4 linked regions of the Styela clava genome follow. The protein of the gene in region 2 purifies or fractionates together with the protein of the main gene of each other region. This does not show direct contact. Links are inferred from orthologs where the notes say so. Each region holds a gene or a part of one and is shown on either strand. Other genes may lie near its edges.

Region 1 (7,265 bases), on a different chromosome or scaffold from region 2:
TTTTTTTTGTGCAGAACTGATTGTACAGTTTTGTTGGGTCTATTTCTTCTATGATAGAATTTACAAATTTCTGACATAGCAACAATAAAAGCTTCATTTGCTAATAACTTCATCAGGCATCTTTTGAAATTAGGGCTAAAAAGCCCTTAACATTAGAACTGACAATGGGCCAATGAGGAAGATACTTACAAACATGAATGACAACAAGCTAGCATCAATGAACGTGTCAACTAAAACCAATGTCATATCTCAACGGCGATAAATTACAACTAATCCCATCCTTTCTTAACAATATTATATTTTGGCTATCACCAATTCAATGCTCATTAAATTACCCAATATCAATTTGCTGATATTCAGAAAGAACATGGTAACAGCCTTTCATTTCATGGTGAGCGAAAAATATTTTTTAAATCTCTCCATGTGTACATTGTTGAGTTCGCAATGATAAGTGGAATTCATCAAGAATATTGGCATGTAAAGTGATATCAATTCAGTCAAAGTACCTGACAATACCAGTGTATTTATACCAATCCAGAGAGTTCTATCGAATGCAAATATATAAAAAATATTTCTGATGATTCAAGAATGTTCAAGTTTATTTCTTAATGCTACTCCTGTAAGAACACAGGTTGATTGAGTTTAAGTCCACGAGCTCTTTCGCATTTCCTAAAGTTGATAAACAACACAAATGCTCATAATAAGCCTTGTCTTTTCAGGTCCTCGTATGTCTTTTTTGAGACAACATTTCCAGCAGAGTCTTCATATTCCTCTTCTTGGTCTGGATTCCATCTCTCTGCATTTTTCATTTCTTTAATTTTTGACCACAACGCCATCGCATCTTCAATTTTTGTAACATTGGCAAAATGGGCAGTGTTAGGAATACCAAGGCAACGCATCCCATGTGCATGACGCCATTCAGCAAAATGTCGTTGAAATGCCTTTGGTCCTCTGTAAGTTTGATTTCCGCAAATCTCACAGCTGTAGTTGATATTAAGACCATGGAGTTTATAAAGCCAGTAAGGGATCGGTTTGCCATCCCAGCCAAGAGGAAGATTCTTGGGATTATAAATCACTTCATCCTCATCATCTCCTGAATCACTATCAGACATAACATCATCCTCATCTTCATCACGCTCTGTATCAGTACGTGCTTGTCGACGTTGTACATTATCCCTTGTGGCAGCCCTTTGTTCACTAACAAGCTCAACTAGGTGATATATTTGTGCCTCTACCATGGCAGTTTCTTTATTGCGTTGAGATGTTAAATCCTTCTTTCCAGCTTTAATTTTACTTTTAGAATACAATGATGTTTCAATTTCATCCATCGTTTTTCCTTTCGTGCTGAACAATCTTTCAGCTCTTTGCTCTAAAGTTCCACCACACTTCAGACTCAATGCCATCAGCGCAGACTTCAACCTATCAAGACCTAATGATGCAAGTTCTTCTGCTGATGTGAAAGCACTTAGATCAAGATGAGCTCCAGAATGAGCCATCGCACTTCCAGCCTCTTTACCCCAGCCAGGAAATTCATTTGTTTCCCATTGCAATTCAAACTTTTTCAAAACCTCATCATGCTCGACATTCAAGTCGAGTAAAGGTTTAATGCGTTCAACAAACGATACAAGATACTGCAATAAACCATCAATGTAGTCATGATATTGAGTATTTTTCCTATCTCGTGGAATTTCAAACAAGCGATCAAATGCATCTAAATATCTAACATAAGTTAGTTTTTCAATGCCTTTTATGTTAATATAACGCAAGTGTGATTCATGTAAATCTAAAAAGCGACCATAGGACTCTTCATCAGTAAATTCAACAAGTATTGTTGCTTCATCGCTTGCATTTTCTCTCGCTTGATTCAACTCTTCAAATTCCATAGACATGGGAACAAACACTTCATTTGGATGTTTTTTGTGAAAATCTTTGATTTCCCGTAACCGTTTATAAAACTCACCAAATTCATTTGGACCCGCAATTGCTTGTATTTCAGCTTTTCTTAAACCGTCCTTGTCTTCGTACAGCTCCTGTAATCTAACTGAATTGTCCATAACACGATCTAGCAGATGCCTCATTCTGTGGTCTGAGTTGATTTGTTCACGAACCGCTGATTTCTTATGCATGCTTTCCTTTGTCATAGCATCATATAAACGCTCTTTTTCTTCATGCAGCCTACGCTGTTGTTCTAACGTGGTCTCCATCGCAGATAACGAAAAACCAGGACCATATAAATCAGCAACAGCGAACGTCCCGATAGGTATAACGTTACACAAACACAGCAAGCCAGTCGAATTCGAAAATCTGCTGCTAGCTTCGCAGAGTGAACTGAAGGGTCGTAGTGCTTTTCAATATGAGTAGTTTGTTAGTGATGCCAGATTTTTCGTGTTATATTTGTTTCCATTTATATTATGGCGTGAATTATCAAACAATAACCGTTGAACGAATTTACATTCATTCGTTAATATTTTAAATAAGTTTCTACTTAACAATAAAATTTAAAATTAAATGTTTGCTTGAAAATTGCATAATAATGTGAATGTCGAATCATACAGTTATACTGCCACTTTCGGCAGTATTGTACAGATGATTGGTGATCCAGGTATAGGTAATTTTAAACCTTATCTCGTAACGAAAAGTGGGCATTATAAAGACTTCAATTGCCTCTATTTTATTCACAGTTTTACATATGTACTTGTTTCCATGCCAGATATATATCTAAAACCACTGAATTCTATTGGGCTATATCAGGGGTTCCCAAACCGCGGCCCGCCGAGCTTAAGTGAAATATTGACATAGATTTTGTTTTAACCTTTTTACAACCTAGAAACCGCCAATTGTTATGTCGTTATCCCATTTTAAGCTCGTGTTCATGGTAACAATTCGATTATGCCGATATCTCAGTTATACGTACCGGTATTAGGATTACATAGGGTAGTAATTTAGTTATCAGTCATAGAAGAAAGGTTAGAGATGCCAAATAATAAACTAGACTCTGAAAACAGACTTTCCTCGGATGAATAGCATCGTTCGTGTTTCTTTATTGAAAAGAATCACGCTTCAGAGATTTGTCCACTTTGCCAACGAACTATTCCAATTCTGAAACAATACCACATGAAGCGCCATTATGAGTCAAACAAACATGTTTCGAAAAATGTCAAACGTGAATCCACTGAACCCCAGCTAAACCCTCGCATACTTCCGGGACACTACATACTTCCGGCCCGCGTACATCCTTCCGATTCAAATTTTGGCTCGCGGTCAATAAAGTTTGGAAACCCCTGGGCTATATATATCAATCTTTGTGGAACTCTAAATGCAATGCAATATTATTTAGAAGAATACAGAACTGAGAATGACACTGCATTTATTTAATCATTGGTAATATACAATAAATTGACGATTTAGTAGTTATATTTTATTTAATATATCCGTATAAAAAGAAAAGAAAGATCTCACTATTTTGTACGATATAATAGTGAAATGATTTTAATAGTTTTCGACTCGGTTGTTTCATAAATCTAGTAAGATGGTCAATACCAGCCATTTCGACCAATCAAATCAATTCGTAAAGAAAACATACATTTCTTCAGCAACCCATTAGTAAATGTATTGTATATTTTCCCGATGTTCCGGCCAATCTAACCGGTGTTGTATAACTGTTCCAATTTACACCAGCTTACTTCATCTCCCATCCTGTGTTACAGCTAGACTTTCCAGCCAGGTTTTGGATTAGAATGTTAGAATTTCATTTAGCCCATAACAGAATAATAATCTAAGCAGTCTAGTCCTAATTTAGTGATGTTTATGCATGGTTGATGATACTGATTGGATTCAAAATGTTAAAAATGGGTTCTCTCTTGTATTGGATGCGTTAATAACAGATTCTATCATTTTGAAAATCGTGACAAACTTATAGCCCTGGAAAACATGACCAGGTTCGATTCGCGCGAACCCGTGCGAACATCCTGAATCCAACCACTGAATAATACCATCTTTCAGTTGATAATATGTAAAAAAAAAGTTTACAAAATATCATAATAATAAAATCGATTTTGGTTGAATTTTTATAAATATTAATTCTATTTGTTATAATAAATTCCGGTAAAATAAACAGTAGTTGATTATGAGAATAAATAATTGAGTCGGCCTTTAATAGAAATAGTATAAGCTTGTTCCACAACATAATTATTGATAATTAGAGATTAGTACATATTAAACAGATAAATAAATAAAATTTGTTTCGTTTAACTATGATCTCAAAATTACGATTTTAGTAAAATAAATTGAAGTCCAGATTGAAGGCATCGAATTTAAATAAAATACTGAGTTATTATATATATAATGAAAATATTTTAGAGCTCAAATATTATATATTTTGAAAACTATTCTGATAGTTTAAGGTAATTATGTGTATCTAACGGTACGTTGGAGGAGGAACAGGTGGCCGTGTTTTATCTTGAACATAAGCATCGTTTGCTCTTGCTTCACCTGATCCAGCGTTGGGACGATGCGGTACGTTGCTTTTGTTGCCTCTAAATAAATATGTAATTCTGTAAAAAATATTAGTGAAGTCCAATGTTTTTAATTGCTTCGAACGATAAAGGCTTAAAAAATATTCATATAGGTTTCAGTATTATTTATGACATTTTTACCTTTTCCAGGTATTAAACTTGTCTGAAATATTGTTTTTCTCACGAAAGATAACAAATCCAAGTAGAGCTAACAATAGCAATACAAGAATCACGATAGCCGCAGTGGATCCAGCGCTATTAGAAGAAGCTGTAATAGAAAAATATATTTTTGTTTTGAATGTAGGCATACTATACCAATGGTTTTTAATTGGTTACTTTAACCTCGGTTGCTTTATTCTGTTGAGTTTGGATTTGGACAATATTAGCCTATACAAAATATCACCATTACTTGGTACACTTTCATCAGCTGAATTGGTAATGAAGTCTCTTTCGCTGTTGGCTGAAAAATATAAATTAGTAGAAGTTGTTTAATATGGGAATAAATGAAATCGCACCGCAATCATGCCACGTATGACATTTAAAGCTTAAACATGAAATTTCAACCAAGAACAAAACATATTCACGTACCACACAGTTGATTTCTGCAGTAGTCCTTTTCTCCACACTTGGAGCATGCAGTTCCTTTTTCAAACACGGACATCATTTTACCAGACATATATACATTTCCCCTGTATGAAACGTAGGAGTTAGTTAGTTTATGGTCAAAAGCAAGAGTGGTTAGTTGGGCCATACCTTTGAAAAATGATCGATATTAATTTTGGAATATATTGATCGATTTTGAGGTTTATAACAAAAATGATTTTTTTCCCTAAAAGTCAGGAAAAACTCGATGCAGAACTTTTTAAGTTGTTACAGAATAGCAATCAGTACACAGCTGATCTCAGAAGGCAACATATTGTTTTATTAGATGTTTTGCATTGAAAATGTTTTACACTTCTCACAAAAAATTATATTCTTGTGGATATCTAGCATTGAGAATAGTGAAACTTGTCCATCTTTAACAAAAATATGAACATTTAATTTACACATAAGATAAAGATGCTCATGTTACAATATACCCATTAAGCGAGCGACTGGCTTACTGTGCAAATTACTGGAATGTATAACTTCACAGCTGAAGCAAATGAATCTGTCATTTAACCATTTAACTATTTGGTAACAAAACTTACGCGGTCGCATAATTGCACAAAAACATAGTGCCAGATCCCCAGTCTACTCCAGATAAAGTTTTGCATGAAACCATTGCACATCCGACTTTGAACGTCTTGGCCCAGACAACCTATTGAAATAGGATATACAATAATTAAGTGCTGGAATAAGAACCACGTATTTTTGTATGACAGTCCATTTTCAAGTACGTAATTCAAAAGTTATAATGATGTGAACGTATTAGTTGGCTAACGCTAATCTCCGAAAAATAATGGTGGAGCAATCATTTTCACGTGTTGCGTAGCCTGTTCTATTTCCAAAGTGGATGTGTACCCAATTTAGTCATGTCTGATTCGTCTCAAATGGTGACTTCATCTATATGAGTCAAAGCGAATTTTAGGATTCCGTTATCCGTAATACGTAATGCATTTGCATATCTTCCATTTTAAAGATGAATATAGCAACATTATTATCGCACCAAATATGCCTGGCGAGAGGACGACAACGAGTAGTTATTCTTTTCTATTTGCAGTATTTTAATTCGAGAGTTTTTAATCACGTTACAATGTTTTCATACGATACCTGAGTGTAATGTCCGCACATTTTTCCTGATTGACAAGTTTTTGAGTTGTAATCAAAATAGCTAATTTCACTAAACCATGATTGCACTGAATTTTCTACGTTTTTTATTGTTCCACTTGAAGCATGTATGTTTTCACCGACGCTAAATGTATGCATTCCATTATTAGTGGAAATAAAATATATATATATAACGTAACTTTGGTAAAAAAAATAGCCATGTCGTACCTCCATCCTCGCGAATGTTTCCTATTTTTATTGTGACCAAAGTGACATTGTTTGCAATATTCCTGAGCCAAGTATGCAAGTTCACTGTCCCAAGTCTAAATATATATGAAATGTATTAACATAAATTATTTACACGTAAGATAAAATTAATGAATCCATAATATGTTTACATATTTATAAACAGTACGAGCCAGTTACATTATATCATGGATCAATTAATCAATGATTATTTATACAGTAGTCATTTTCATAATATAAATCACGGTTTCTCGAATTCCTCTCCACGGCATATTTCTTCCCATACCATATATCTCATGTTGGAGGATCCGCTCGATCGCCTTAATTCGTTGTGACGATTTAAAATTGTCATCTTTGCGGTATCATTCAATGGAATAATTGTAGGCCCTGCGCCGCGTTTGACCTAAACGAAGGAAAATATGACTTCAGTAATGTATTTATCAGAAAGAACATATATTATTATTAATTAAATGGTGTTTACTATGTATATATATACATAAAAGCGTGTTATATTTTTTTTTATCAAAGCATGGTTCTTTGATAAGATAGACTAGTCCGCACCTGAGTAAAGCTTTACCGACAAGACTGTTACATGTATATATGCATTTTCTGGCGAATTTCATCCAAAATTAGTTTTAACTTACCCTTAGTGCCGACAACAAGGCGACTAATTGAAGGATAATTATTGGTAACAGCCACTTCGCCATTTTTCCTTTAGTATGCACTGAGCCCTACTCTCACATATAAGTAGCATAA
Region 2 (7,494 bases):
TGAAATCACAAAATAAATATCATCCAAACTTTTCCAATTTGCAATTGTGAGGCCATGTATAGGTAGTTACTTGAAAGAGTTTAAAAGCAATGAATCTGGTTGAGAGGAAACAAATGGAGGTCTGAAAATAGTTACTAATTCGCTAAAAATAGTCTTACTTTTCGCCAGTTAGGTGAAAAAAATTAACCTCAGTGATAAAGTACAAACTTCAGATTTCTACAATACTGCTTCTTTGCACATCTAGTCAGAATTTATCATAACCAACACCCACAATTTTTAGGTTTTCGAAGGTTTGGGATGCTAAATATAAATTATTTTCAAACTTTTCTCCAATCAATAATATAACACAAGGAACATATTCACAAAAGTAACAATATCTTGTAGAAAACTCTGAAAGACAAAAACATGAGAAAATCAAGCAGCCTGTTTTGTTTCGAAGTTTTAACAGTATGAGATAGTATGAGAGACCTTCCATTTAATGCGTTTGTTTTTCCAGACATTTTGAGCCAATACTCAAATTCACAAACTGTGTGAAATTTGGTTCAAACATAAGAAATTCCCCTGATTCATATCTTCCTTACATTGTATGAGCAAACTCACACATATACAACTTTCACCACCACAAGAGTTCATGAGCACATACATTTATGTGGCTAATGTCTAGGAATGATAGTTACATTTCACATATTGTTATTAATGAATCATTCAGCAGATACACGTTCCCTAGCAGCTTGTTTCGCTATAAGTCTTTCTAACTGACGTTTCGCTTCACATTGGGGAAAGTTGTCCATGTGATAATATTGTGGTGCAATCTTGATTAACCAATCAGCTTTAATATCAGAATTGGTGCGAATGTAATTCTTTGTCGTTAATACAAACTCATTATATAGAACCCATTCGGGCTTGTGATCAAGGCATGTTGAAGGATGTAGCTGGACAACTTGATTATCTTTAACTGTTAAATAGTGACCTGTTCTTTCTAGATGAGCAACTTGCATAAAAAATCCTGAAACAAGTGCTTTTCTAATATTGATGTAATAGTCACGACTAGCAAAGTCAGTACTTCTACGAGGTAGTGCGAATCGATCCATAATTCGTGCTAATTGTTGTCGCACATTGTCAGCTGATGCCATCGATCGATGATTAATGAAGTTGTCATAACACCACTGATTATTGGTTTGGTTTTGCTTGTATGCATGATAAACATTAAGTAGAGTCAAATGGTCTCCATCAATATGAGCAAATCTCATTTTCGCTTCATCAGCAGCTTTTTTTGCTTCGCTTGGTCGGACAAAGCATTGTGGGACAGACAACATGGCAGTAATGCTGAGAATTTCATTGGAGCAGTTATAGTCACAACTAGCAACAAGCATTTTTGCAAGTTGAGGATCGAGAGGAAACTCAGCCATGATTGATCCAAGTTCAGTAAGATCACCATCATCATTGAGTGCAGCTAAGTAGTTGAGTAGTTCCAATGCTCGCATGAGGGTTTCTGGAGCAGGAGGATCCATAAAATCAAAATGTACTAAATCATCGATTCCCAACTTTTTGAGCTGTAAAACAACAGAGCCAAGATTGGAACGTAAAATTTCAGGATATGTATTTTCATGCATTTCTGTTTTATAAGCCTTTTCAGTGTAAAGACGAAAACATTTTCCAGGTCTTGTTCGACCAGCACGTCCTGCTCTCTGTTGTGCACTGGCTTTACTTATAGCAGACACCAGAAGCGATTCAACTCTAATACGAGGATTGTAAACTTTTTGCTTGGAAAATCCAGGATCTATGACAAAGACAATTCCATCGATTGTCAAAGATGTTTCTGCAATATTAGTCGATACGACGATTTTTCTTCCAATAGCTCCATTTGGTTTTTTGGGAGGAGCACTTTCAAAAATACGCTGCTGTTGTTGCGGGGGAAGGGTGGAATATAGTGGTATCACTTTGACATCTCCAACTTCTGACCCAAGATTGTCGATTTCATTTTTTATTCGTCGACATGCTTCATCAATTTCTTCTTGGCCAGTAAGAAACATAAGGATGTCGCCTTCCTCTTCTTCGCAAAGATGAATCTGGATAACGGTTCGAATAGCAGCTTCTAAATAATCACGTTCTGGCTCAGGTGTGTAAAAAATCTCAACAGGATGTGTACGACCTGGGATGCTCAACAATGGTGCATTGTCAAAATAATGTTGAAATTTGCCCGCATCAAGAGTGGCACTCATAACAACGATTTTCAGGTCCGGACGTTGCTTTGTGACTTCTTTTATAACACCCAGGAGAATATCAGTGGCTAATGTACGTTCGTGAGCCTCATCTAGCAAAATAACATTGTAACGCTCCATCAATGGATCGGCCATTGCTTCCCTGAGCAACATACCATCAGTCATGTACTTCAAAATAGTGCGTTGAGATGAGCAGTCTTCAAAACGAATAGAATATCCTACCTCTTGGCCAATCATGACATCCATTTCTTCAGACACACGCTGAGCAACGCTCATAGCTGCCACACGACGCGGTTGTGTACAAGCAACACCCTTTCTTGTAGACACCGCACATGCTGTTCTAACATACTCTGCACACCATTGAGGAATTTGAGTAGTTTTTCCAGAACCTGTTTCCCCAACCAAAACAAGTGTTTGATGATTTTCTAGCAATTTCATGAATTTTTCTTTGTATTCCCACACTGGTAAACCGAGCCGCTTCTTCAAAATGTCATAATATCTTTGTGTATATGGAAGTTGAGTGAGAGGGTTGAGTGGCAATGCAGGCTTTGGGATCGGGATAGAAGTGTGGTTATCTGATTTACGATCGTAATCTCTGTCTCGATCCCTGTCGTGCTCTGACCGCCTTTTTTTCTTGTGATCATCGCCGATATCTAACCTGTGCCTCTTCGACATGCTTTCGCGTAGTATGCGGGAAACAAATTTTCAAAAATTTAGAGAATAAATCAGTGCTGGGCGCCTCCCAAAACCAGAATACACGTGGGATAGACCACTGTGAATCCAGCGGAATTTCAGCGGAAAAATATTCTGCAGTTTTCAAATGGTTCCCATGCGGAAAATGATCTCTTATTACAATATTTATGAGGGATAAATGGATCCTATTTGAAATAATATGTTCCGAAGGAAACAACTCAGACCAAAACATAAGTTTAAGCACATTTAGCTGGTAGTGGTAACTACAACATACATAACTGTATATCACATAAAACAGAAAAACTAAAACGTACTAGAATATATTTGCAGAATGAAAAAAAAATACAAAATAAAAATAGGCTACTTTTGATGGGAACACAAAACATCGGAAAATATTTTTTTCAATGTTACATGCAAACTTTAGGGTTCGAGACCAAATGCGAATGTGATCCGCAAAGTTCCGACAATTTTTAACAGTAATTTTGAATAGTACCAATAGTGATAAGTATTATATATAAAAGTTGAAGGAAACAAAGCGGGACTTTATGATTTATGGGGCTCCAAATACAGGCCAAAAACGAGATTTTCCGAAATTTGAGGCGTACTCGATATATCGAGGCCAAATTCGAATATGTTGCTTAATATGCCGACAACTTTTGACAACGATTTCGATCACATGTATAAGTCAAGTGTCTAACACATAAGTATGATCAACAGCGGAATAAAACTTGACAAAATAGGGCCCTTCAAAAATTGACAAAAAATCAGATTTTGCTATATTTCGTGCGAACTCAATGATTCGATGCCGAATTCGAATATGATCCGCAAGGTGCCGACAACTTTTAACAGTAATTTTGAATAGTAGCAATAGTGAAAAGTATTATATATAAAAGTTGAAGGAAATAAAGCGGGACTTTATGATTTATGGGGCTCCAAATACAGGCCAAAAACGAGATTTTCTGAAATTTTATGCGTACTCGATATATCGAGGCCGAATTCGAATATGTTGCTTTATATGCCGACAATTTTTGACAACGATTTCGATCACATGTATAAGTCAAGTGTCTACCACCAAAGTATGATCAACAGCGGAACAAAACTTAACAAAATATGGCCCTTCAAAAATTGACGAAAAATCAGATTTTGCTGTATTTCGTGCGAACTCAATGATTCGATGCCGAATTCGAATATGATCCGCAAAGTGCCGACAACTTTTAACAGTAATTTTGAATAGTACCAATAGTGAAAAGTAATATATATAAAAGTTGAAGGGAACAAAGCTGGACTTTGTGATTTATGGGCTCAAAATACAGGCCAAAAACGAGATTTTCTGAAATTTGAGGCGTACTCGATATATCGAGGCCGAATTCGAATATGTTGCTTAATATGCCGACAAATTTTGACAACGATTTAGATCACATCTATAAGTCAAGTGTCTAACACCAAAGTATGATCAACAGCGGAAAAAAACTTAACAAAATATGGCCCTTCAAAAATTGACGAAAAATCAGATTTTGCTGTATTTCGTTCGAACTCAATGATTCGATGCCGAATTCGAATATGATCCGCAAAGTGCCGACAACTTTTAACAGTAATTTTGAATAGTAGCAAAAGTAAAAAGTATTATATATAAAAGTTGAAGGGAACAAAGCTGGACTTTATGATTTATGGGGCTCCAAATACAGGCCAAAAACGAGATTTTCCGAAATTTGAGGCGTACTCGATCTATCGAGGCCAAATTCGAATATGTTGCTTAATATGCCGACAACTTTTGACAACGATTTCGATCACATGTATAAGTCAAGTGTCTAACACCTAAGTAGGATCAACAGCGGAGCAAAACTTGACAAAATATGGCCCTTCAAAAATTGACAAAAAATCAGATTTTGCTATATTTCGTGCGAACTCAATGATTCGATGCCGAATTCGAACATGATCCGCAAAGTGCCGACAACTTTTAACAGTAATTTTGAATAGTACCAATGGTGAAAAGTATTATATATAAAAGTTGAAGGGAACAAAGCGGGACTTTATGATTTATGGGGCTCCAAATGCAGGCCAAAAACGAGATTTTCTGAAATTTTATGCGTACTCGATATATCGAGGCCGAATTCGAATATGTTGCTTTATATGCCGACAACTTTTGACAACGATTTCGATTACATGTATGAGTCAAGTGTCTACCACCAAAGTATGATCAACAGCGGAACAAAACTTAACAAAATATGGCCCTTCAAAAATTGACAAAAAATCAGATTTTGCTGTATTTCGTGCGAACTCAATGATTCGATGCCGAATTCGAATATGATCCGCAAAGTGCCGACAACTTTTAACAGTAATTTTGAATAGTACCAATAGTGAAAAGTAATATATATAAAAGTTGAAGGGAACAAAGCTGGACTTTATGATTTATGGGCTCAAAATACAGGCCAAAAACGAGATTTTCTGAAATTTGAGGCGTACTCGATATATCGAGGCCGAATTTGAATATGTTGCTTAATATGCCGACAACTTTTGACAACGATTTCGATCACATCTATAAGTCAAGTGTCTAACACCAATGTATGATCAACAGCGGAAAAAAAACATAACAAAATATGGCCCTTCAAAAATTGACGAAAAATCAGATTTTGCTGTATTTCGTGCGAACTCAATGATTCGATGCCGAATTCGAATATGATCCGCAAAGTGCCGACAACTTTTAACAGTAATTTTGAATAGTAGCAAAAGTGAAAAGTATTATATATAAAAGTTGAAGGGAACAAAGCTGGACTTTATGATTTATGGGGCTCCAAATACAGGCCAAAAACGAGATTTTCTGAAATTTTGTGCGTACTCGATATATCGAGGCCGAATTCGAATATGTTGCTTTATATGCCGACAACTTTTGACAACGATTTCGATCACATGTATAAGTCAAGTGTTTACCACCAAAGTATGATCAACAGCGGAACATAACTTAACAAAATATGGTTCTTCAAAAATTGACGAAAAATCAGATTTTGCTGTATTTCGTGCGAACTCAATGATTCGATGCCGAATTCGAATATGATCCGCAAAGTGCCGACAACTTTTAACAGTAATTTTGAATAGTACCAATGGTGAAAAGTATTATATATAAAAGTTGAAGGGAACAAAGCGGGACTTTATGATTTATGGGGCTCCAAATACAGGCCAAAAACGAGATTTTCTTAAATTTTATGCGTACTCGATATATCGAGGCCGAATTCGAATATGTTGCTTTATATGCCGACAACTTTTGACAACGATTTCGATCACATGTATAAGTCAAGTGTCTAACACCAAAGTATGATCAACAGCGGAACAAAACTTAACAAAATATGGCCCTTCAAAAATTGACGTAAAATCAGATTTTGCTGTATTTCGTGCGAACTCAATGATTCGATGCCGAATTCGTATATGATCCGCAAAGTGCCGACAACTTTTAACAGTAATTTTGAATACTACCAATAGTGAAAAGTAATATATATAAAAGTTGAAGGGAACAAAGCTGGACTTTATGATTTATGGGCTCAAAATACAGGCTAAAAACGAGATTTTCCGAAATTTGAAGCGTACTCGATATATCGAGGCCGAATTCGAATATGTTGCTTAATATGCCGACAACTTTTGACAACGATTTCGATCACATGTATAAGTCAAGGGCCTCGATATATCGAGTACGCCTCAAATTTCGGAAAATCTCGTTTTTGGCCTGTATTTGGAGCCCCATAAGTCATAAAGTCCCGCTTTGTTCCCTACAACTTTTATATATAATACTTTTCACTATTGGTACTATTCAAAATTACTGTTAAATGTTGTCGGCACTTTGCGGATCATATTCGAATTCGGCATCGAATCATTGAGTTCGCACGAAATACAGCAAAATCTGATTTTTCGTCAATTTTTGAAGGGCCATATTTTGTTAAGTTTTGTTCCGCTGTTGATCATACTTTGGTGTTAGACACTTGACTTATACATGTGATCGAAATCGTTGTCAAAAGTTGTCGGCATATTAAGCAACATGTTCGAATTCGGCCTCGATATATCGAGTACGCCTCAAATTTCAGAAAATCTCGTTTATGGCCTGTATTTGGAGCCCCATAAATCATAAAGTCCAGCTTTGTTCCCTCCAACTTTTATATATATTACTTTTCACTATTGGTAATATTCAAAATTACTGTTAAAAGTTCTCGGCACTTTGCGGATTATATTCGAATTCGGCATCGAATCATTGAGTTCGCACGAAATACAGCAAAATCTGATTTTTTGTCAATTTTTGAAGGGCCATATTTTGTTAAGTTTTGTTCCGCTGTTGATCATACTTTGGTGTTAGACACTTAATTTATACATGTGATCGAAATCGTTGTCAAAAGTTGTCGGCATATTAAGCAACATATTCGAATTCGGCCTCGATATATCGAGTACGCCTCAAATTTCGGAAAATCTCGTTTTAAGCCTATATTTGGAGCCCCATAAATCATAAAGTCCCGCTTTGTTCCCTACAACTTTTATATATAATACTTTTCACTATTGGTACTATTCAAAATTACTGTTAAAAGTTGTCGGCACTTTGCGG
Region 3 (7,322 bases), about 2.6 Mb from region 2:
CACGATCACCACCACCTCTACCACGACCACCACCATCTCTTCCACCACCTTGATCAAATCTGCTTCCTCGTCCACCCCCCCTACTGTCATATCCTCTACCACCTCCGCCACCTGAAATAGCCAATCATTTACAGGTCAGTAACATAAATTCACCTCAGCGAAAAATTTAAAAAACACAGACAGTGATTGAATTATATTCCTACTTGAGCAGGAAAATATTTTTTAAATGATATTGCTAATTTCACACTCTAACCATCAAACAGATGGCTAAGTTACTCACCAGAACCATACCCTCTATCTTGATAACCCTGGTTCTTATTTCCATATTGCCCCATGGGCCCCTGTTGACTTTGATTATAGTTATTGGGACCCTGGTCTCCACCGTAGTTTCCACCACCTAGCATGCCATAAGAATAAGTAAGTTAGAAATGGGAATATTAATTTATAATTATTTAAACTTATGTATCAAGCAATATAAATTAATCATATATATATATATATATATTGTTTGAAACTAAACGAGTATAGTCCAGCTTACCAGACTGATCATTTCTGTAGCCGCCTCCTCCCCCACCACCTTGCTGACCATAAGACTGTGAACCTCCCCCGGAACCACTGTCCCGTTGGCCGTATGATTGATTTCTGCTACCTCCGCCAGACTGCAAGAAAACAAACATTATAAAAACAGTTCATTTTCAAATTCACCCAAAACAAAATTTCAATTCACCTGGCCGTAGCTCCCACTGCCACCTGAATTTCCACCGGATCCATACGATTGCTGAGACTGCTGTTGTCCACCACGATGACCTCCCCCATATCCTCCTTGCTGCTGTCCACCATAGCCACCTTGCTGCTGACCACCATAACCACTTTGTTGTGGTCCACCATAACCACCTTGCTGTCCACTGTAACCACTCTGTTGTTGCTGACCACCATAGCCACCACCTTGCTGTTGTCCAGATTGCTGTCCACTGGCTCCACCTTGTTGGTAGCCGCTATTGTTTTTCTGACCACCATAACTAGTACTACCACCAGCAGAAGCAGCAGCAGCAGGTGCAGCTCCAGTCTGCTGTTGTCCATAACCCTGGCCTGGAAAATTGATATGTAGTACAGGATATGACCAATCAAATACATACGATTTAACCAGGGCTGAGTTAAGGGGGATTTAAACGAGATTATCAAATCTGAGCTATTTCAAAAATGACTGCTGTACCATGCGTCCGATTCCTGATTAATAAAAATTTGGCATATGATATCGGATTGAAGCAATTTCAACTCAGAATTCCAGCTACGAAAGATAATTTGTTGATGTATTCAAGCCTTATTTCATTTTATATCAAGACTTGGAAAACGCCCAATAAACCCAATACATTTTAGTTTCCATCTGTGATTTTGACTCCAAGCAAATGTTTGGAAGTCAGACTTCTATTTCTATTAGGACTCCGACTTTATATCAATAAAAGCATGTCAAACTCTGACTCACTGTCTCAGTCATAATTATATTGCTACCACATACCTCCAGATTGGTTGTTCGATCCATAGCTGCCATAACCACCCTGTTGCTGATAGCTTGAACCATATCCTTGGGCACTAGTCACTCCGCCTGCGCCTCCGCTTTGTTGCCCACCAGCTGATCCATAGCCCTGAACAAAAAATAAAATTTTTTAACATTTTGTAGGGACCAATGATTATGCAAAACGGGGATTGCCAGAAGCAACGATGGTTCACTATTGATTGAATATCGTAATAAATAAAACTCTTTTCTAAATTCAGGTATAAATATTATTATAGGCTAATGTATTTAACATTATTATAATTTTGATGTCTTACTAACGTAAATTCAATCTTAAAATTTTAAAACTGTTCAAATACAATTTACCTGCTGACCATAACCTTGAGTGCCACCCCCGCTTTGAGAGTAATTAGATTGTCCATATCCCTGTCCACCAGATGCACCATAAGATGGCTGTCCATATCCACCGGAGGATCCATATTCTGGAAAGTACAAATTACAAATTTAATTTCAAACTTGATTATTTGAATATTTTTAAAGCCTACTGTCAGTGCAAATATGTTTGGATTCTTTTAAACTCAAATGACTGAATGATGATGATATTGATAATGATGCTCATTACAACCGTAGGATTTTCAGTGCAGCCCTTTCAAGATTATTTTGGATTAAATGTCGTCTTATAACTTTGGACCAACTATTTTACTGTCACTTTGTCATTATCTGATATAGAAAAATAACAAAAAAAATGAAAAAAGTGGATCAAAATTTAGGCTGAAATACAGTGAATAATTTGTCATGACACCTATAATATGCGAAGGACGATTGATAACGATATTGTTCCGAAAGCCTTTTTTTCCCCACATTGTATATCTGTATATAGTCACCCGATAAATATTATCTAGCACTGTAGCATGCATGTGGCCGGTCCTATTATCAAATTGACAGATTTAAATTCGTGCATAAATTACTCTAAAATCTGAAAATGCCAATTTGACGGCCCTAATTTAAATTGCTTTCGATAAATTCATTTAACAGGACTCACTTGCAACGATGATTGTTTTTATTTATCGCTGGTTATGTTATTCATATTTACCTAGTAATGCTTGGAAAAAAAATATTGCGGTTTTGAGTCAATATGGAGGCCCAGACTGTCTCGTAAAGGAGGATTTGCAATCACTCTTATAATTGATGTCTTTTGATGTCGGGGTTATAGCCTACCTACAGTCAGACAGTCCAGCAGTCTGAGTGAACGGAGCGCTTAGTTACTAGATTATTATTTCATAAAAACTGCTTAAAAATAAAGACAGTTTCCAAATGTTGAATAAGAAAATGACATAAAATAATTCACTTACGAGAATTAGAAGACGCCATAAATAAGTAAATCCTGTTCCACAAATAAGCTTGAAGAGTCGACCAAGGACAGACGGATAAATCGTCTGAAAGCAGAAAAGCGGGAAAGCGAAAGAAATCAGCGACGACAGTACGACACGCTTATTCGTTGAATTGACGTTGCCAGTTTTTTTCTATTTGATTACCGTCATTTATTTACTAAGAAAGTCAAGATCTATCAAATTCGACCGTAAAGTAAAACCACAGTGTTTATTGTCTAAAATACAGTTTTAGCAAGTGCAAGAATGTGTTTCTTCTAATATAGAGTCTTTAGATAATTGTTCATCTTCACTTGTGCGTGTGTGTGTTGTCAACTCGAATGTCTCCTTTGCCACTGCAAATTTCCAAAATAATATTATAGTACAAACCATTGTTTCAATTAAAATGTAGTTGAAAACTATTATATTTTTTGTGCCGGTGTTTAGCGAATACCGTTCAATTGGCTGACAGAAAGGAGTACAATAGATGACAAGTCGAAAAAAACTTTCATGAAAAATCTGGCAAAGCAAAAGGATTTAGTCACGTGAGTAATGACAAATTTTAATTTTTACAAGTAAAGCGAGAAAATCGATAGCGTCGGGTTACATCGACGCTCGCCCATCGACCGGTTCGGTTATCGACTGTACCGACAAAAGTAACTCGTACTCGTAACAGAACTAATATAAGGAAAATTGGAATAAAATTGTGGCCCAACCCTAACCTGGTACACATTCTACGTTCCGGTGTCCGCCACCTTGGTACGCATACTTCAGGACTCTAATTACCGCACCTCTAATTACTCTGCGTGGGTTCGCAGGTTCGAATCCCATGCAGGGATGGTTATGTGCGAGAGGATTGCTGGACTCCTCGCCGTCGTTGGGTGGTTCACGTAACCGCTGGTCGGTTACGGCTTCCTCTATCACCAAGTCCATGCTTCCGAAAACAAACAATACAGTTATACATATGTATAAGCCGTCTTATCGGCTTTCCTCTCCCCCGGGATAAATATGTAAATCCTATCCTACTTCCCTTTAATTTTTATTTGATAACGGGAAAAAAATGATGACAAGAATTATCAACCCATTAATATTCAAATCAAAAAATATTCAAACCGGTAAAATTTTTAAACAAGCCTGCAAAATTGCATGTCGAGGCACCTAGGCTTCAGCCTACCTTGCATAATGATGAATCCGGCACTGGATACTGTTGGGAAATAGGATAGGATAGGATTTACATATTTATCCCGGGGGAGAGGAAAGCCGATAAGACGGCTTATCCATATGGCGAACCACGGCCTCTCGTCCGGTTACCATTCCAAGTCGGGTATGGGATTAGTTTTTTACTGTATTGTTTGTTTTTTTCGGAAGCATGGACTTGGTGGTGGAGGAAGCCGTAACCGACCAGCGGTTACGTGAACCACCCAACGATGGCGAGGAGTCCAGCAATCCTCTCGCACATAACCATCCCTGCATGGGGTTCGAACCTGCGAACCCACGCAGAGTAATTAGAGGTGCGGTGGCGAGCGTATTCCTAACGCTTAGCCCGTTGAGCCACACCACCGCGCCGATAGTTGGTGATTGATAGATTCACCCAAATATTTCATTGACGATCAAATTATTTCGGTTTGCTTAAAATGTCTCAAAATTCTCACGATTCTGGAAAAATCCATTAAAGATACAGTATTGACAATAAATATATATATCTAGGGCATGAGCTAACATTAAGATTAATCATCCGTGTTCTGAGAGACACAGGGTTTGAATACATCATTTTACATAAGGATATGAATAAACATAAATTCGGAGAAATTTCAAAAAATACGTCGTGGTACTATTTGAAAAAGAAAAAATTATTCATGAAGATTATATGAAGTGATAGCACGACGCATTGGGGTTTCTGCAAAATCGAATACCTCAGCCCTTTGTGTATATTTTCCTTACCATTTACAGCTTTTGATAAACCGCAACCATCATGGGTTGTACATATGGTTTTGCTCAATGTTATTCGACTAATCCAGATGTGTACACATATGATCCAGTGATATCCCTACACCCCCTATAGGGGGTGAACACCCCCCCTAAAATTTCAAACACCCCCCCCCCCTAATTTTGAGGTGCGATTCCACGCTGTTATTCCGTAATTCCTAACTCAATTATAATTGTATTTAAATATAACGACTATGGCATATTTATCAGTGTAGATGGGGGGGCGGTGTTATACAGAATCAGAATTACCATTACAAATTATATATATATATATATATATTCGAAAATAAAATATTCGAAACTTACATCCCTGAAAATTTTTTCAGTGCAACTTAGGCCTAAGTAGCATTGAATGGCATCAGTCTCTCCATCAAATTTGATTATTCTTGGATGCAGAATATGCCTAAATCCTCTATGACAGCGGTTCCCAAACGGTGCGCCGCGCCGAGTTGCTAAGTTCGCCGCGAAAAATAACAGAATTGTGTTTAAAAACAACTAAAATATGATTGAATATTTCACAAATTGTATTTATTATCAATTTTTTATTGTTTCATATTTTAAATGCTGTGTATATGAATCAATAAATTCATTCCACGTTTCTATGTCGTTTACTTTCTGTTAGGTAGGGTCTGCCTGTATTGTTACATAACAATGCAGAGAGACACTCTTTGCTGCAGTTTATTTATCTGTTGGACCGGGTTTAGCGAACATGAGTGATTAGTTTACAATTTTATAGGAAAATCAGGCAGAGATGAGGAAGAATAGTTGACCTTTTGCCTTTGTTCTATAGGCCTAAATGTTTACAAACTTTGAAAGGCATATAATAAAATTGAGTTTCATTTAAATGCAGCCTTTTTTTTCGTACAAGTGCGCCGTGAGTGTGTAATTCCTTGCTATTTTACTTTTTCTCTGACAGTTTTGAATTGCTAGTTCAGTACCAAATATGAACCCATACGTAACTCGTCAGTGGTGATTTATTTCTAAAATATAGTATAATAATAAGTATTTCCTACTTTCGTTTCTAACATTTTTGATAACAGGTAAATCTGAAGTACTTTCAGCTTGCCTTCAAATTTTTGATTTATCATAATATAGAGTGAATAGGTAAGTACATTTTTTTTTGTTGTTTCGCTGTCGCAAAATATTATATTCCATATGAAGCTATTATGAGATAATACACCATATATTTTTTTAAAATATACTCTGTAAAATAGTCAATGTCCAACTTTTTAAATTTCGCACAAGCAAATTCCCGCGTACTCGCAAATAGGACTTTATACAAATGACATCTGTTTACTGAAGCTTGTAAATTTTGTTATTATGTTTTCTTACTCTGAAATATATTTTTATGAATGATAGAAATCATTCGAAACCTGAGCTAATCCTTTCTAGAAACCAAGGATGAATATTGCGGAACGCTAGTTCAATATTATCTTGGATTTTATCTGCATTCTTCTATCACTGAGATTGTTTATCCCATGTTGCATTTGAAGCACTCATTTAAAAAATTGAATAAATAGTAAAAACATTTTGCTAATGGCGTTTAATTATAAGACATAAACTGAGAAATCACTCAGATACATGCAATTTTATTAAAAATACAATAAAAAATTATTTTTATATATACATTGCGACACAGGGTGTCTCGGATAATAACAATCAACCGCTTTTTTGGTGTTATTTCTAGTGATTTGTTTGAGTTGGCAATAAAAGCATGATTGTCTAATGTAGCAAAATTCAGTTGCCTCAATATTTCAGTGGTTATCACCTATATATGTTATACATCACAACATTGTCTGTATTCCTTGCACATATACTGGGCAGATAGAAGTACCGACGATGGAACGACGTTTTTAACGTGTTTACTCCGGACATTATCACAACATATCCCAAATAGTTCGCAGAAGGCAGACTTTGTGTGCAATACAGATAAAGGCACACCCATTTTATTTGGGTCTAGAGCATTTTCTTTCTTTAACGACTTGAAGGAAGAATCCATCGATCCATAATTCTTTTGTACCCGTTGGCATAAGCCTCTGACCTTGTAATTATTGCATTTTCCATTCAATTGGTGCTTATCTTTGCATGTAAATCCGGCATTTGGCCCAAAATGCTCGAACACATCTCCAGTTTCGCTGGCAAACTTGTTCCCAAATTGTGTCTTTGCCTGTATAGCGACGAGGTTCTCACACCCAAAATTATTACTTTCCACGGTTTGGCTGTAAATCCATTGCGTCCAGTAGTATTTGTCTGAAAGTTCATGTGGAAAGTCGGTGAGTCCAATTGTGCCAGGATAACAGGAATACCGGATCTGTAAATGTGAGTCTCCTCTAACATACCTAGTTTGCGTTTCCAGATATTTGTTACAAATTTGATGAGGTCTTTCCATTGTCATGCGATGCTTGAATGCATGTTCGTCTAGTCTCCACACGCTGTGCTCATTTGTTATGAACCAA
Region 4 (7,462 bases), about 5.6 Mb from region 2:
CCACAACTAAATCTATCTACTAAATTAGAATTGAGTAAATTAACTGAATATAAATTTCCCAATGCATTAGTCAGCTTCTTTGTACTTTGTACTAACATTTCTTTACAAGTCTACTGAATTGTAACAAATATTGCCGTTGTTTATCCAAAATAAATTAGCAAACAGTCCAGAACTATAACAAAGGACCAACAAGCTTATTGCTCACTGAAATTGAGTCCTTGGTGCAAGTGTTGATAATGGGTTGCAAAACAACATCGAAATCAGAAGTTATAATTCCTGTACTCGAAGCGAGATTTCTTAATTTTTCTTCTTCGGTCTGAGCTATTGCAGCATCAATTTTTTCTTGTTGTTGGTGCATCAAAACCTGAATTAAAAATTTATTATAAAGAATACAAATACAAAAATTTGAAAAAAGCCATTTACAGGCCTGCGATAAAGAAAAATTGTGCGCATCTTGAATGCAATTAACAAAATTCCAGGGTAACCTGAAAAAACAGAACCCGGGAAATTCGAAACATATTGTGGAGAGAACATAACTGGTGCAAACTGTCCTAGAATACTGAAACTTGTAGGTATAATCATACACAAACAGGAGTTCAAGTGTTTAGGTATTAAATAAATTTATGAGTTCTATTCATTTTGCGTCATCCTGTATATAGTTAATAGTACAGATGTGCATCATGACCTCATATTGTTGTTTTAAGTTACTGCTGCTTTTCTCAATTTTTATTTTGGCTTCGTTTTCAGCTTGAACAATTTGATATTCTTCATTTTCTTGGCCTTCTTCGTCTTTGCCTTGACTCAAGTCTGATGCTTTTTTGTCTTCAGGTTCCTGAACAAAATGAACTACATCAAACAATATAATTTATTCAACAGCTGCTTGCCCAACGCCCTGTTTAGAGTAGAACATAGTTTGATAACATGACAGAATACTATGTGAACATATCAAATTTTCAATTTGTACATCTATATCAGTGGTTCTTTAGTGTTTTTTTTTACTCCAACAGCGTAACACCATTGAAGCCCCCTTTTGGGGTGGGCAACAAAGGCACAAGCAACGTGCTATGGGACTATTTTATAATGTGGCACTACATCCATTTCTAGATCTTCGTGCAAAGTTTCAACATATTAAATATATGTCCTAACAACGTAATAATTGTGTGCAGAAGCACGAAAGAATTTGCATCGTCTACTGTCAAAGCTGAAAGGTTTTAATTATTACACTCTCGTTTCATTTTAGTTGGGCAGTAGCGGACGAGGGCTATCTCTAAAGACAAGGACTGGTAGCGCTATGAACCCGTTTAGCGAATACATACAGTATTAAATATAAAGAGAAAGTGTTGCTGCCATATATTAGCAAACTCAAAAACTAATTGTTGCAATAATTCAAAGCTGCTCGCGTACCATTTTAAAAGCTCCCCCATACCACATTGAGAACCACTGATATATATATGAACTAAAATGAAATGACAAATTTCAAACCTGATTTTGACTTGGTAAAGTTTGAGACTGCTCTGGTGGTAACTGACTAAACCTTGATGTCCTGGGTGGCATGTTCTGTGGTGGTTGTCGATACGGCATATTGAAATTTTGTGGTGGTGGTTGTCCACCCATTTGCTGATTAGGAGGCATCGGCATGTCTAAAAACAGTTTTCATTAAAAAAAAAATTTTGTCACTTCGACTTCAAATTTTGATGAATCAAAGTGTCACTAACTTGGTACTGTCTGGTTATTACCGGGGCCTGGGAACGGAGGTGGCGGCTGATGCATGTTTGGTCCTGAATTCGGTGGCATGAATCTTTGGGACTGTGGCTGCCATGGCGGAGCATTCGACATTGGCTATAATATAATAAGAAGATCAGTATATAAAATGAGATTACAAAAAGAAATAGATATAAAACCACATACAAGACTAACACTGTGTATTAGCCATCATCCATCTACCAAAAATACAAAAAACAGAACACCTGACATACCATTCTCATATTAGGGGGAAACCTTGGGAATTGTGGCATCAGAGGTGGAATTGCTTGTTGCTGACTTTGCTGTTGTTGAGGATTTCGTTGCCAAGGTGCATTCTGCAATGAATGTTGTACCATTGCTTCTTGTGCAACTACTTGCGCATTCAATTTTGCTTTTTGCTGATTTTGAACTGAAAATGCAATAAAAAAGAATACAGCGAAAAATTAACATGATGAGAGAGTATAAATACAAACTTCAAAATTTGCAACAGGTTTAATGTAAACAGGATATAATATAAAAACATGAGATTTTAAAAGTCATGACTCATGAGTAACTTTGGACAATCAGACTGATGTAAAAACTCTGCAATATGATCAGTGGTGTAATCTAGATTGAATACCATAATTAAGAAAGAAAAACTTTCTAATAGACCGTTGCGTCTTTGAACAGCACCCTTACAGGCAAAAGATGTAAAACGAATATTCGAAACTTATACTGGATTTCATTTGAACAAACACAAAATTAAATTTCCCAAAAATATAAAAAATAATTTCCTTACTTTGTTGTTCTGTTGATAGTTTGTATTGGTAGTAATTATAATGTTCCCCGCCAAATAAAAATGAAAATTTTGGGTTCCCTTTTTGTTTTTCTTTCGTCATCTTCTCAAATTCTGCTCCATTTCTTGCAACAAAGTTTGCCAATTTGTCAATGATATTTTTCACCTCAGGTTCTTTTGAAAAGATGTTTTTAAAAAAAAAAAAGTTTATTCTGAATAAGTCTGATTTTGGATATTTTAGCAGTTTTATTAGGTAACAACATTTATATAAAGTAAATGAACCCAAAACATGATTTCACAATTTTATTCTCAAAGCCAATAAAATTTGAGTTGAAATTTTCAAAATAAGAGATAAATTCATCTTACCCACTGGTGGTTGTAGAACATCCATATTATAGATTGGAAAATGCAGGCAATATATTGCTAAATCTTACAGGCTCTATGTAGCTATATTTGAAGATAAGTACACGAATATTTATACAAGATATTAAACCCTTTTTCAAGCATACAAATAAAAATAAACAATGAAAATAAACAATTCTTTCCTTATATCAAATCTAAACAGCCATATCATACTTTTTATTTTTTAAAATTAAAGTTTGCTGTAAATGAATATTCATGAAATTTCTACTACAAGGATTTTCTATTTCAGTTATGCATCCAATAACATTGTGATTAATATAAGGTATATTTACGATTTTCTACATATTTTATTGAAATATACCAATATGTTTATTTTTCTCAATTTGAATCACCATTTACAAATAATACAACTTGCAATTCAGTCGAAATTTATTATTAGCTAACGTAGGAATGTGTTGGAAAATTGTCTCTGATATGCTGTACTTAATTCTATTATTAATTTAAAAGCAAATATGCAAAACCCTTTTTTCGATGACATAAATATATATCAATTTCTACGACTGCTCCTATATTTATTCACATTGACAGTTTAGACTAAATTGTCTGGCGATAGGAGAAAAATAAATTCTCCATAGCATACTTAACAAAACAGAAAAAACAGAAGCACTAAATGAATTCTTCCCCATGCAGTATTGTCAAAAATTTATTTTACATAGTGCCCAACAAAGCATAAAAACGGCATTGTTATAAAGATCACCTCAATCAAAAATGCCAACTTACAAACTTTTGCATTGTTTCATAAGGAGACCGCATAATGGCTCCTCCTCAGAATGCTAAAGTAGTCAAGGAGACACAATAAAATTATATTATTTTGTGGATGAGCTGTTTTACAATATGAATGTTTCCACAGCATTGTATATAATTTTAAGTGGGTGCACCAAGCATATTTTGGCCTAGCTAAATGACAATGTAATATTGGATATAAATCTGTGTTAGTCAATGTCGTCAATCAAGCGACAGACTTTGTGAAAATATAATACAATCAAAGGTATCAACCACAATATATCAACAATCTGTGAGGTATAAAAATGAAAATGCATCTACATGTGTCGATATGTTTGAAATGAAAGCGTTTCTTAAAACCAAAACATGTATTATTCACAACCTCTACTAGTCCCAGTAATAGCCTTGTATGCACTTTTTAATCTAACAAAAGTTTAATCTAACAAAGGGTTAATGGATGAGAGCCATGGTTCAAAACAAAAATAGTAAAAAAGTCAATGTTAAGTGAAATATCAGAAACAATTCATATTTTCAAAGTTCAAAATACTGCAATATTGCAAATGCGTAAGTGCAAAAGCAAAATAATCATAAATGGAATCAAAATTATTTCCAAAAATATCATCTTTTTTCACTTATAAAGACTTCATTTGCAGGATAAAAACACCAATTAATCTTTCAATTTCTGTCTTCTGACTTTTGGGAGATGCATTTGGGTTTTTCTGCAGATATGATACAACTCCTGCCAAAAATTCAGCTCTGAATTGTTCAATCTTGCGTTTTCCTGAAACTCTCTGGTACAGTTCATTACCAATTCGTGCTGCAGTAATCCACTGGTATATTGTACTTGAGGCAGACGAAGATTCATTAGACTGTAAATACTTCAACAATGCCATTTGTTGCAATAATTCAGCATTGCTCTCCAAAGCTTTATCTTGTTCACCAATGCCAAGCAAAAAAGCCATTTTGCGTTTGTACAGTTGTAGTCCAGGTATACAGGTATATAAATTACAAGAACAAATTGCCTGGATGTGTAGTAATTGATAGACCATTATTAATTAATGAAAAGAAAAAAATACAAAGAACATTATGCCATTGAAAATGTACCGTACGGCACCGTAGTGATGTACGGTACACCGAAGTTGGGTCTCATGCAGTTTCGTACATACTTCTAGTGAGCGTAGCATGACGTAGTCAAGAGGCCGTAGTCAGATGGGGGTTAGGATTGAGTTGACATATCATATTGTTATGCTACACCCACTAGAAGTACGGTATGTTAGGTAAGGAGACCCCCAAACCCAAAGTTGCCCTAGCGGACATATCTCTCTCTCGTTTTCGGAACGGTAAAATAGCGTTGCCAGAAAACAATTTAACATGGCGAAAAAGGGGAATCTAGTCGCAAAGCACTTGCCAGATTTACGGCGAAATTTTGCTACACTCGGAATTGCACAAAACTCATCTGTAATTTCCGATGGTCGGGCAGATTTTTGAAGGTGATATAAGAATGAACTTAAAATGAAGTCATCCTAATCCAAGTTTTATAAAATTTGTATGTTGGGAACATATAATAATACATTGTCAAACATGGCCGAACAGGAATTTCACATCAAAATTAATAAATATCTGCATTTTAACCCTAAATTCTATACTTTTTAATTAGGTGCCCCACTTTTAGATAAGACATTTCAAAAAAACATATTGTGAAGTCATTTCAAACCAAGTTTGAGAAAATTTGTATGTCGGGAACATATATTAATATCTTGTCAAACATGGCTCAATCAGGAATTTTACATCAAATGTAATAAATATCACTAGAAGTATGTTAGGTACGAAACTACATGAGACCCAACTTTGGTGTACATCACTACGGGGCCGTACATTTTCAATGGCATAATGTTCTTTGTATTTTTTTCTTTTCATTAAAAAATAATGGTCTATCAATTACTACACATCCAGGCAATTTTGTTCTTGTAATTTATATACTTGTATACCTAGACTACAACTGTACAAAAGTAAAATGGCTTTATTGCTTGGCATTGGTGAACAACAACAGTATCTTGTCAAACATGGCGAAACCATGAATTTTACATCGAAATTAATAAATATTAGTATTTCAACCCAAAAGTTTGTACTTTTTGATTATGTGCCCCACTTTTAGATAAGATATCCCAAAAGAACATATTGTGAAGTAACCTCGAACCAAGTTTGAGAAAAATCGTATGTCGGGAACATATATTAATATCTTGTCAAACATGGCTCAAACAGGAATTTTACTTCAAATGTAATAAATATCAGTATTTCAACCCCAAATTCTGTACTTTTCAATCACGTGCCCCACTTTTAAATAAAATATCCCAAATAAACATATATATTGTTAAGTAACCTCGAACCGTGTTTAAGAAAAATTGTATGTCGGGAACATATATATAATAATATATATCTTGTCACACATGACCCAAACAAGAATCCGACTTAAAATTAATAAACAACGCTATCACAACCCACATACTGTATAGATTATAATGGCGTGCCTCAATTTAAGTAAGATAACATAAACGAATTGTGAAATCATCTCATTCTTCCCTACCGGGGATCTATCTTATATTTTAAAAAATTTCCTAAAATGGTTGGTTGGTCTTACTAGAAAGCCACCACACCACGTCAAGGTGCCAACCATCGTGGCGGTTTTCATCTCAGTATTGTAGACTAGACCAAGAGAGAAAAACCTGGCAAAGGGCATGTTAAGCCAAATAGGTAAAACAGACTGATCCTTCGTCTGACTTGAACGATGTACCTCAAAAAAATGAGAATGTAAATCATCATATCTAGTTGAATATTGTTTTGCGTGTAATTTAGCATCGGATGCACTTTTTGCAATTCCATTCTATTTCGCTGTTTTCCAGTGCCTAAACTGGGACTGGAACACTACAACATTTCGGATGGTACCATTTCAAACATGAAGTGCATTCGATCATGGTCTGATTTTCAATGTAAGACAGTTGACAGTTGCGAAGTATCGGAATTTCCAATCGCCTGGACGCGGGTATAACACGTTTCTTGTTGATGTTAAATACCGACGAAAAATTTTCAGAGACCATACCATCAATCAATCAATCATCATTTATTCGTCAACACAATTTAAACATGGTATGATATATGAAAAAATATTACAAATACAAGTGGAAACTAACTTAAATTTTGTGACAGGAGTCGCGAGGGACCTCAAGAGGTCTTCAGGCAGCGACACCTAAAACGCTTGTTGATTCAGGTTAATAGCTTAAAAAGTTAATGAAACACCATCGCATATTTTCTTCCTACGATTTTTCTCGTCAAATAGTATATGCTCTGGTCGTATTTTGTTACATAGGGCTATGCAAAAACTAATCGAGAATGGGCCACACGATGCACATAAAGTTTGTTGCTTGACAGCGGGGAATTCAATTGGTACTTTATTTGTTCCTTGCCTTGGCCGCGTAAGAAGCGAAATCGCATATTCGTCATTTTCATTGTACTTCATATTTGAGCTATCATAAATCTGTATGGTATTTTGGTCAGGGGTGAATATATTTGATGCTGTTACCCAGTGATTCTCGTGCACAAACAAATTTTTGAAAAGGAATATACACTTTAGGGCCAGATAGCGCTGTATAACAAGTCTACTTCAGAATACCGAGATGACAAAATTAGTTGTGCCGTGTTCATAATATCCGAAGTGAACCAGTCTCTTCTGAAAATAGTTTTGGAATTCATTATTTTATAATCGACATCAGTTAAATGTACAAATTTTTGGAATGGAATTTT

What was found.
Region 1: the proteins of putative pre-mRNA-splicing factor ATP-dependent RNA helicase PRP1 (region 2) and splicing factor 3A subunit 3-like fractionate together in Homo sapiens (co-fractionation; 3 studies listed by BioGRID and IntAct, with this or other methods). This does not show direct contact. The link is inferred for Styela clava from reciprocal best matches to the Homo sapiens genes DHX15 and SF3A3.
Region 3: the proteins of putative pre-mRNA-splicing factor ATP-dependent RNA helicase PRP1 (region 2) and uncharacterized protein LOC120345481 purify together in Homo sapiens (affinity purification with mass spectrometry; 4 studies listed by BioGRID and IntAct, with this or other methods). This does not show direct contact. The link is inferred for Styela clava from reciprocal best matches to the Homo sapiens genes DHX15 and FUS.
Region 4: the proteins of putative pre-mRNA-splicing factor ATP-dependent RNA helicase PRP1 (region 2) and calcium homeostasis endoplasmic reticulum protein-like purify together in Homo sapiens (co-immunoprecipitation; 3 studies listed by BioGRID and IntAct, with this or other methods). This does not show direct contact. The link is inferred for Styela clava from reciprocal best matches to the Homo sapiens genes DHX15 and CHERP.

The regions. Positions count from the first base shown.
Region 1 is NC_135256.1:16,760,613-16,767,877, forward strand, and holds splicing factor 3A subunit 3-like, read right to left. Parts: upstream 2,356-7,265; 5' UTR 2,205-2,355; coding exon 696-2,204; 3' UTR 504-695; downstream 1-503. Other genes in the region: GLIPR1-like protein 1, read right to left, coding at 4,418-4,535, 4,656-4,782, 4,924-4,974, 5,103-5,203, 5,705-5,814, 6,267-6,408, 6,492-6,586, 6,796-6,912 and 1 more. UniProt on the Homo sapiens protein: Component of the 17S U2 SnRNP complex of the spliceosome, a large ribonucleoprotein complex that removes introns from transcribed pre-mRNAs.
Region 2 is NC_135250.1:17,942,159-17,949,652, forward strand, and holds the start of putative pre-mRNA-splicing factor ATP-dependent RNA helicase PRP1, read right to left. Parts: upstream 3,002-7,494; 5' UTR 2,898-3,001; coding exon 702-2,897; 3' UTR 1-701.
Region 3 is NC_135250.1:20,547,121-20,554,442, reverse strand, and holds the start of uncharacterized protein LOC120345481, read right to left. Parts: upstream 3,024-7,322; 5' UTR 2,885-3,023; coding exon 2,866-2,884; intron 1,996-2,865; coding exon 1,880-1,995; intron 1,644-1,879; coding exon 1,517-1,643; intron 1,090-1,516; coding exon 728-1,089; intron 660-727; coding exon 539-659; intron 398-538; coding exon 281-397; intron 112-280; coding exon 1-111. Other genes in the region: salivary peroxidase/catechol oxidase-like, read right to left, coding at 6,644-7,322. UniProt on the Homo sapiens protein: DNA/RNA-binding protein that plays a role in various cellular processes such as transcription regulation, RNA splicing, RNA transport, DNA repair and damage response. Binds to ssRNA containing the consensus sequence 5'-AGGUAA-3'.
Region 4 is NC_135250.1:12,309,936-12,317,397, forward strand, and holds the start of calcium homeostasis endoplasmic reticulum protein-like, read right to left. Parts: upstream 3,016-7,462; 5' UTR 2,910-3,015; coding exon 2,885-2,909; intron 2,693-2,884; coding exon 2,522-2,692; intron 2,153-2,521; coding exon 1,977-2,152; intron 1,840-1,976; coding exon 1,716-1,839; intron 1,641-1,715; coding exon 1,483-1,640; intron 833-1,482; coding exon 686-832; intron 365-685; coding exon 206-364; intron 1-205. Other genes in the region: uncharacterized protein LOC144419834, read right to left, coding at 4,297-4,626. UniProt on the Homo sapiens protein: Involved in calcium homeostasis, growth and proliferation.